2 linked regions of the Canis lupus familiaris genome follow. The protein of the gene in region 1 purifies or fractionates together with the protein of each later gene. This does not show direct contact. Links are inferred from orthologs where the notes say so. Each region holds a gene or a part of one and is shown on either strand. Other genes may lie near its edges.

Region 1 (4,499 bases):
ACATGTGCTCGCTGCCGTGGCACCAAAACGCAAGGGCAGACGGTCAGGTGACGCAGTTCCCGTGGGGAAGGAACAGAGATGCCTGCAAAATAGAAATGTAAATGTGGAAAGAGTCTCCCGGGAAAGTACCTGCGTCTTGACTCTGGCCTTGTTTCGTGTCCAGCCACCTGGCCACCGCTGCGGTCGCGCCTGTGCCCGTGCGGAAGAACCTGGCTCGCGCTGAACCTACCCTCCAAAGCCACAGGCCATATTTCTTCACTCTTACGATAATTTTGGTTCAAAGTATATAGTCCCTTAACAAGCTCCCTGCTTCAAAAGCCCCAGACCTCTTTGTTTGGCTATGCTTGCTGAAACACGTCTTTCAAAGAGCCAGGTTTGTAAAGATGACTTTATTATAATCTCCTGTGCTTTTAAAGATAGACCGACGGCTGTAGTGCCGTAATCTACCTTGGTCCCCTAATTTAAACTGTTTCTTGTACGAAGTTAGAACATGAGGGAGTTCAGCGTGCCAAGGCTGTGTCCTGCCAAAGAATGCAAAGCAGTTGCACCTCCACCTGTTCTGGGAGGATTCGCACGGCGTGTGGACAAACAGAAGCACGGGTTGGCTTCTCAGTTGAGTGTGTTTTGAAATGTATGTTTCCGCGTCATTATTTTCTGGATGGATAATTAGGCCTTTGATTTGTTCTTTGATGCGTTAGTCGAGAAGAATATTTATAATCTCTGGCCAGTTGGATTTTCATCTACACTTTTGCCGTCGATTTTAAGCTGTACAACCTTGTGGTCAGAAAATATCGGCCGGCGTCTGTTACGTTCGTAAATATCCCTCGGACACGCAGTAATGTGATAATTGTATTTTGTAAAGTAAAAAGTTCATTATGGAGGTACTAATTCAACATTGTAATTGCATTATATAAATACCCTATGATACACATTTTTTTTGTCTACTAAAGCTCTAAAAGACTATTTTGTCTTGGGGCACCTGGGTGCAATGGTGGAGCGTCTGACTCTTGGTTTTGGCTCGGGTTGTGATCTCAGGGTCGTGAGATCGATCCCTGGTCAAGCTCTGCGTAAGATTCTCTCTCCCTCTACCCCTCTTCCCTCTCAGACTTGTGCTCTTTCTATCTCTCTCAAATAAATAAATCTTTTTTTTTTAAAAGACTATTTTTGTCTTAAAGATTTTCATCGAATTTCCCCTTGAATTTTTAACATTTCAAATGATTCCGTGCATTATAGGGATGAGCTATCTCTTATCGCAAACTGTATCTTACATACACAAACATTTTCTTGTCGCATTCATCCTAGTGACCTTTTATCAGAATTAAGATTGTAAGTCGCTAAAACTCGCAGTTAGTTGAAATTTGTGAACATTTTATTTTAGTTTTGCTACTTGGCATTTCACGTAAAACCTTTTTTTTCTCCCTTTTTTGCAGTCTGCCAAGGCACGAGTAACCGGCTCACCCAGTTGGGCACTTTTGAAGACCACTTTCTGAGCCTTCAGAGGATGTTCAATAACTGTGAGGTGGTCCTGGGGAATTTGGAAATTACCTACATGCAAAGGAATTATGACCTTTCCTTCTTAAAGGTTAGTTCAGTCAATTTGATTGTCTTACCCAAAGGATAGAAGGAAATATAAGGAGATAAGGACCTTGAGATAATGTAGTTGGAAGTGTATTTGCTTTTGCTACAGCAGTTATGTGTCCTGGGGGAACTACAGATGCAAGTTTTATCAGAAAACCACTTCACCAGCTAGTGTCAAGTCAGAGCTACGAAATAGTGTCAGAGAGAAACAGGCTGGCCTGCTGTTTCACTATCATCAGAGACACTGATATTAAGCATTTAACCATTGCTGTCGCTGTGGTATCCTGGGATATTGGCTCTTTGAGAAAAAGACAAAGTCCTACTTTGTAGCATTTTCCCATTTCCTTGGTGTAAACACTCCCCCTCTAGTTGAATCCCAGCTGCATCGCTCCTTCCATTTCCCACATGTCTCATGGTGGGCTCTCGTGAGCCACCAGGAGCCAGCTCTGAAAGCTTTGGAGTTGGGTGGTAGTTGAACTCTGGGTTTGATTGGCTTTCTGGGTTCTGTGTTGCTTTTTATAAGAAAGTGTGCAAGACGGATACAACACGAATAGATAAAACGATTTCATTTTCTTCTGAGCATAGTGAACACCAAGTGAAACGAGAGTCAGAGCTTTGCTAAATAATGCACGTTGCCCTTTATAATCACCAGCAGGCTCTAGAGGCAGAAGTACCTGAGTCATCGTAAACCCTGTCACCTCCCCTATCCTCACTGTAGTCATCCACCTGCTTTATAGTTGTCAGTCACTCGCGTGCGTGGTTGGCTTAGGTGTTCTGGGCTTTCTTGACCCATTTTAGACCTTGCATATTTGAGCTCTTGACAAGAGAAATAACACATTGACATTTGATCTCCTTAGACCATCCAGGAAGTTGCCGGGTATGTATTGATTGCCCTCAACACGGTGGAGAAGATTCCTTTGGAAAACCTGCAGATCATCCGAGGAAATGTGCTCTATGAAAACACCCATGCCTTATCCGTCCTCTCCAACTATGGCTCAAATAAAACTGGACTGCAGGAGCTTCCCCTGAGAAACTTGCATGGTGAGAGGCCAGGGCACCGGGAGGATGGGGCTGCAGACAGCAGCTCAGACCAAAATATTTTTTAGTGCCACTCAGAGAAGACTTTTATTCATCAAATACAAATGTATTGAGCACCAGCTCTGGGCAAGGTGCAGTAGGTGGAAGTGACTAAGAAGACAGTAGGTGATGGAGAGGGAAGGGAAGTTTTAAACCCGGTACCACTTCTCCTATATTCGTGGGGAAATATTCAGAGAGTGAGTAAGAAATGGTAATGGTTCTGGGACATAGAGACCAGATGACCTTGGCTGAATAAACTGCCAATCCTAATACCTGGACCTCAGGTGTAAGGGACATACATCAAAAACCTCCCCTACTTGGGACAGTCTTCAGAGCAATGCTGTAATACAGAAGAACAGAGGATGACGGTATTGCAGAAGAACTTTGAATTCCTGGGAGTAGGTCCCTCGTGAAGGTCCCTCAAGTGGAAGCTAAGATGATAGAAGGGATAGGAAGTTGATTTAAATAAAATTGAAGATAATGAGGAGCATGCCCTTGCTGTGTGGCAGGTGCAGTGCCCATCCCATTGCATCAGCAACTTCACGCCCACCCTTCAACGCGGGTGTTTACACTCCCACCATCTTACACATAAAGAAATGGTGGTAAAGTCATTCTCCCAAGGTCCCACGTTAGTGAAAAAATGGCCAGGAATGGCCACCAAAGCTCTGCCCCCAGGGTCCTCGCCCTTCCCATGTGCTGTGCGGTTGTGACGGGAAGGGAGCCCATCAGGAAGAGGGGGACGAGAGCAGAGGGTGCGTAACAGAGGGGGTCCTGGGAACGGTAGGAGCCCCACAATGGATGTGCTGGGATGAGGTGATGCATCCAGACCGAGCTCAGAAGCGGCTGGCACAGCCCTCCAGCTGGGCTCCTGGGGTTGGCCATCCTGTAAAACTGCCCGAAGACTTTCCACCCACCACTTTAGCTGCTCAGAACACCCACCCACATGGTCTGCGTTTATGCTAATACTAATTTGTGCTATTTACACGTTTTGCAAAATGGTCTGTACATTGAGCATGCCTCAATCTGCCCGTCTGGCCTCGTGCTATCTCGTGGTGACAGGCAGATGTGGTTAAGAGCATGGACCCCGGAGCCAGGATGTCTGGGTTCTAGCCCTGGCTCTGTCACTCACCAGCCAGATGCCCCTGGAGCAGATCCTCCCTGTGTCTCAGTTTCCTCCTCTTTAAAAAACGTGCATAACAATGGTAACACACTTCCTGGGGGTGTTGAGAAAATTAAGTGAATTTCTGTGGAAAAAGCACTTAGGAGTTATTCCTGTTGTTGGTATTATTTCTGTTGTTGGCATGGGATCACATGAAGGCAGATTATTTAATGTTATTAAATCCTTATTCTATGTGAATTATTTAGTAGTAATGAAGCACCGTTGTTAATAATTAACTCAGTGCCCACCACAAAGTATAAAATCATCAAATACTGAAAGTAAAAATAAAAGTGACTGCTGCCAGACTGATGACCTCTTCCTCTGCCAAGCTACCAGTCAGGGGCACCTGGATCGTCCAGGACCTTTGCTGCCTTCCTTTTACTTCTCACATTTGCAGGTTGTAGGTGTTTTGTAAGGCCCCCCCTTGACCCTCCATCGTGCATTCTCTCCTGGCACCGTGGTCTGTTGTCCTGAGTGTCACAGCAGCCTTAACGCCCCTACGTTGTGTTTCGGGTCTGACCTCTCAGCAGAGATTTATCCTCTTGACTCTGGCTGCCTCCTGACTAAATGTTCTCTCTTGATTGTCCTGCTGTCATCTTTGACTTTCTACCCAGTGCTCCACAATTTGGCCCTTTGGGACCTCCCAGCCTTCCTTCTGTGATTCCTTTGTTCTGCACCATCCGCG
Region 2 (4,726 bases), on another chromosome or scaffold:
GAGAGGCAAAAATGTCTCACTGGTAGTTAGAATATCCAGAAATCTGTGAACACTTTTGAGATTCATATATGTTTACAGGGCACTAGAATAGTTAAGTTTCCTTTGATTCTACCTTCAACTTGCAATCTAATCTTGCATGTTATTTACCTATTTATAACATCTTCCCTTTATAAGATTACCTCGATCACCTACCTACACAAAAACAAGTCAAATGAACCACCACAAGCACATTCATAAATATAAACCTAACACAAATCAAATAGTTTGAATACTAACACTAATATAACTTGAAAAACTTGACATCAGTACCAGAAGAGCAATAAATGGCACCCTTAAAAAAAAATAAATAAATAAATAAATGGCACCCTTTACTAGTCTTGATGTGGTTTCTGCATATGTAAATAACACTTAAAAAAAATCAATTGAGAGCCAGAAAATGAAGATGAAATGAGAAGTTGGGGCACAATAGGAAGTGCTGACCAAAATATTTATGTTGTAACACTCCAAACAATGATAGCACTTTTTCCCCCCTTTCTATCATATATATCACGAAGTACCCATGGAAGAAATATATCCACCTTAAATTTCTTAACACAATCCAAAATATCCTGTTGGCAAAAACATGAATGCTGAAAAAGCCAGGACAAGAGAGAAGGCTGGATAATTTATGGAGTTGGGTATACAGCAAAGATTTTATGTAGTTCAGCTCCAAGTTATGCAATAACCAAACTGCTAGTGATAGAAATCAACTTTTTTTTTCTGAGGTTTTGCTTTTTTGAAGAAAGCTCTCTCCAATCCTTCCCTGTGTCTCAACCAGGCACTTGAAATTTTCATCTTCTGAAAGGCTCTGGAAAACAAGTAATCTACGAGATGACACTTACCTGACCAAAGGTGTAGTGTTTTACTTAAACATGACATCATAAACTGCCAAATGGTAAATTTTTCTTAAAATCAGAAGCCCCTTCTCCCCGTTACACTATCAATTCTAACAACTATAATCTGCCATGAGATGGAAATTGGTACCAAAACAAAAAACTCAAAGCCTCGATAAAAAGTCAATCAATCAATAGGATTCCACTATCTGAAATTATCAGAACTGATCCAATGTTCAGTGTTACAAAATAAAATTAGAAAAACATGAAAGGCACATGAAATAAAACACATCCTCTCCTACTAGCTGATAAATATAAACAAACAAATAACAAGAAAGTTGAGAAAAAAAGCAAAGTTATGCTATCTCCATTGAACAATAACAAAATTATCTGAGATAATATACGCAACAGCTGAAAGCTTATTATGGCCCAGGCGGCTATCCAAACACTTTGGAAACCTAAGATACCAGTAGATGATAAACACCATTTGAAGACTGGGAAAAAAAAAAAAGACATAAACCTGTTTAATAATTTGGTGACACACTAGCCCTTCCAAGGGGCATTCCCCGAGGACATTCCAGCGACAATTAATGGAACTGTATTTAGGTAAATATCTACTGCACAGTGCTTTGGGCAGAGCACTGACCTGAGAGTCCTCAACCCGACATTTCAGCCCCAGAAGGACTGAACAGCTGCGACAACAGAGCAGGCCACTTACTCCATCTACCTGGGACCTCAATTTCCTCATTTGTACAATAAGAGAATGTAGCATAATCCCAGGGTCCTTTCCAGCTCCAACATTCTATGACCCACTTTTAGTACTATTTATCTGATACAAAGGTCTGACAGGCTCACGAGGGACAAGAACAAGAACTGGGAAGGATCCCTTCTGTTTCTGCCTTTCACATTCTTGTGGTTTTCATTAATCCCATCTTCCTAAAAGCTGGCACTTGTTTTTCTTCTTTGCCTTTTCCATCACTGCTAGCTACAAGTGTTTGCAAACGCCTCTTGCTCCACACAAGTTCTTTTCTCTTCTTTGATCAGCCTGACCATCGTGCCAGATTCCTTTAGCCTCAGACCAGCTTTTGTGACACCACGACTTGCCTTCCGACTCTCCATATCTACCCCCGACACCAGGGCTTTTTTTTTTTTTTTTTTTTTTTTTTTTTTTTTTACTATCCCTGGCTAGCAAAAAAAAAAAAGAAAAAAAAAAGAAGAAGAAAAGAAAGAAAGAAAGATAAGAAAGAAAGAAAGAAAATGAAAAAGAAGAAAGAAAGAAAGAAAGAAGAAGAAAGAAAGAAAGAAGAAAGAAAGAAAAAAAAAAACACAAAGCATGCCGCATCCCGCTGCCACACTCACCAGCCGGGGCCTGGCGGGTCCTGATGTGGGATCCCGGACCCCAGAGCCGGATCGAAACGTTCGTATTTGTTGTCTTGACTCCTTATAAGGCACTGTTCCTTGAGGCTTGCCTAACACCTCCTCACCCCACCGGGCACCCCCGGGCTCATCCCACCCCGGGAGTCGCAGATCCCCCTTCTGAAACAGGAGGCAAGGCAAGGAGCCGCCAGGGGCTGCCTGGCACCGCAACCGGGAGGCGCGGGGTGGACGCCAGCAGCCCCCTCCGCCGGCAGGGGTCGGCGCCGGGCCCTTCACACGCCCACCCCGGCACGCGCGCCCGCACCGCCCCCCCGCTCGACCCCCTCCGCCCGCCCCCGCCTCGGCACGACGCCCCTCGCGTGCCCCGGCGCCCCCCGCGCCCCCGACCCCGGCGCGCAGCCCCCGCGGCCCGGGGAGCGATGGCGGCGGCGGCGCGGCCCTGCGGGCGTCTGGGCGGCCAGGGCGCGGGGCCCCGCCCGTGCAGGCTCCCCGGCCTCGCTCCCCGGCCCCGAGCCCAGCGCTCGCCCAGCAGCTCCTACCTCGTCGGCCCTCCGGGCGCCAGCCGCCGCCGCCGCCGCCCGCCCGCTCGCTGCTTCCCTCGGCCGGGCCGCCGCGCGTAGCCGCCTGCGCAGGGTCCCCGCCCGGGGTGACGGCTCCGGCCGCCGTGTCTCCTCACGCCGGGGCCCGCGGGGGCGCGCGCGCCGCTCGCGCACCGCGGCCCGAGCGCGCCCCGCGCCAGCGCGCGCCGCTTCCTGGTTCCGCCCGGCGCGCGCTCGTGAGCCCCGTGGCCCCTCGCACCCGGGCCGCGGCCGCCGGGGAGGGACCCGGAACCCCCCGGCGCGCCGGCGTGGGGGAGGGGCGGGCGCCGCGCGCGGCCCCTTGTCGCCGCTGCGAGAGGCGCCCCTCCCGGGCCCCGAGCCGGGTCCCACTGGGCCGCCAGCACATGCTGCTTTGTTTGGGTCGCTCGACCACCGCGAGCAGCGCCCGCCGCCGACTCTTGGGGTCGCGTCGACTGGCCCCCCTCCGCGGCCCGCCACCCGCCCTTCCCCCGGGCCGAGGCCCGCGTTCCGGGGCCTGTCCCTCCCAGGCCCAGGTCAGAAGTCCACCGCTGCCCCATCAATAATTATCCCGGGTTTGCTCCCTGGAGGGCGTTTCAGCCAGGGCTGCCTGCTTACCCCCCGGGCGGAAAGCCTGAATGGGCACAGCAGGAGTTTACACTCGCCCAGGCCAACTGGATGCGTCCACTGTTCCAGAGTGAATGGGGGGGGGGGGCGTCTGACACCATTTCCCTCCCTGGGGACTCTTGCTAGCTCCCACCAGTCAGAGCTGCGGGGAGGGAAGGACTGCTCTACCAAGAAAGGGAAGAATAAACACGATCGCCTCTGTAAGATCCAGAGGAAAGGGGTCTCTGAGAGCCTCTTCCGTGTAATGGGGAGGGGGTGTGGTGTCCTGTGAGCCTGAGTCACCCACTCTCCTCTCTTCTGGCTATATCTCTGGAGCTGGCCAGCCGTTTCCCTGGCAACCCTCCAAGGGCCAGCACCAAAGCAAGACGTGTCAGATCTCCAGAAACCTAGCTGCAGGGGCAGAAGGAGGACCTTACACAGAGACACCGAGCTTTCCTTCCTCACAGTCTGAAAAATCTTCATGTCAAGAGATGATCGAGATCTGCAAGGCCCCAACTTCTCCCATAAACCTCCTTTGGCAGCTCTTCCCAGCAGCCTTCCCTTTACCTCCAGAATGGCACCAACCACAAAGATCTTTGTGTCTGTAGCTGATCACAAAGTCCTCCCTCCCCCCCACCCCCACCTAGGCAACTGCTTCTATCCCACACTTTGGGCCAACACCTGGCACAGTGCTTTGCCCAGAGTAGGTGCGGGGCACCTGGAGGTTAGAGCAGGACAGGCTGGAGCAGGAAGCTGGACGGAAACACCAGCTCTGAGCTCTCTGGCACCCCTCTGATGGTCCCTGTGCAAGATGTTTTGGCACTTGAGTATACCATATTTCTCCTTGTAAGTTTTCCCATCTGCACACATGCTGTTCCCTTTGCCTGGAATGTGGTCCTGCCCTCTAGATGTCTGCCCTCTGTCTAGGCAGTGAGAACTTCCCTCTCCCTGTCTCCCATCACATGATGTTCATGCCTTGATCGTGGCACCTCTTGTGTTGAAGGACAATGTCTTGTTTATGTATCTCTCTACCCCTGACAGCACACAATATCCCATTTAAGTCCATCCCATGCCCAGCCCAGAGCAGACACCCAATAAATATTTGAGGAACAAACCCTATACTCTAAGAATAGAAATGGAAATCAGGAGGACTGTGTAGTAATTAAGAGCAAGGAATCTAAAACCAGACTTGCTGTCAACTGCTTGAGCAAGTTTTTGGCCTAGATTTCCTCATTGTCATGTGGTGATGGTCATAGGACCTACCTTGTAGCATTGTTGTGGAATTAAGTGAGATAATACATGTATAGGGCTTTG

The links. Proteins that work in one complex are often made in the same cells at the same time.
Region 2: the proteins of EGFR (region 1) and STAT5B purify together in Homo sapiens (affinity purification with western blotting; 3 studies listed by BioGRID and IntAct, with this or other methods). This does not show direct contact. The link is inferred for Canis lupus familiaris from reciprocal best matches to the Homo sapiens genes EGFR and STAT5B.

The regions. Positions count from the first base shown.
Region 1 is NC_049239.1:6,096,352-6,100,850, forward strand, and holds part of EGFR (epidermal growth factor receptor), read left to right. Parts: intron 1-1,430; coding exon 1,431-1,582; intron 1,583-2,435; coding exon 2,436-2,619; intron 2,620-4,499. UniProt on the Homo sapiens protein: Receptor tyrosine kinase binding ligands of the EGF family and activating several signaling cascades to convert extracellular cues into appropriate cellular responses.
Region 2 is NC_049230.1:20,520,731-20,525,456, reverse strand, and holds the start of STAT5B (signal transducer and activator of transcription 5B), read right to left. Parts: upstream 2,953-4,726; 5' UTR 2,789-2,952; intron 2,484-2,788; exon of another isoform or gene 2,232-2,483; intron 1-2,231. UniProt on the Homo sapiens protein: Carries out a dual function: signal transduction and activation of transcription. Mediates cellular responses to the cytokine KITLG/SCF and other growth factors. Binds to the GAS element and activates PRL-induced transcription.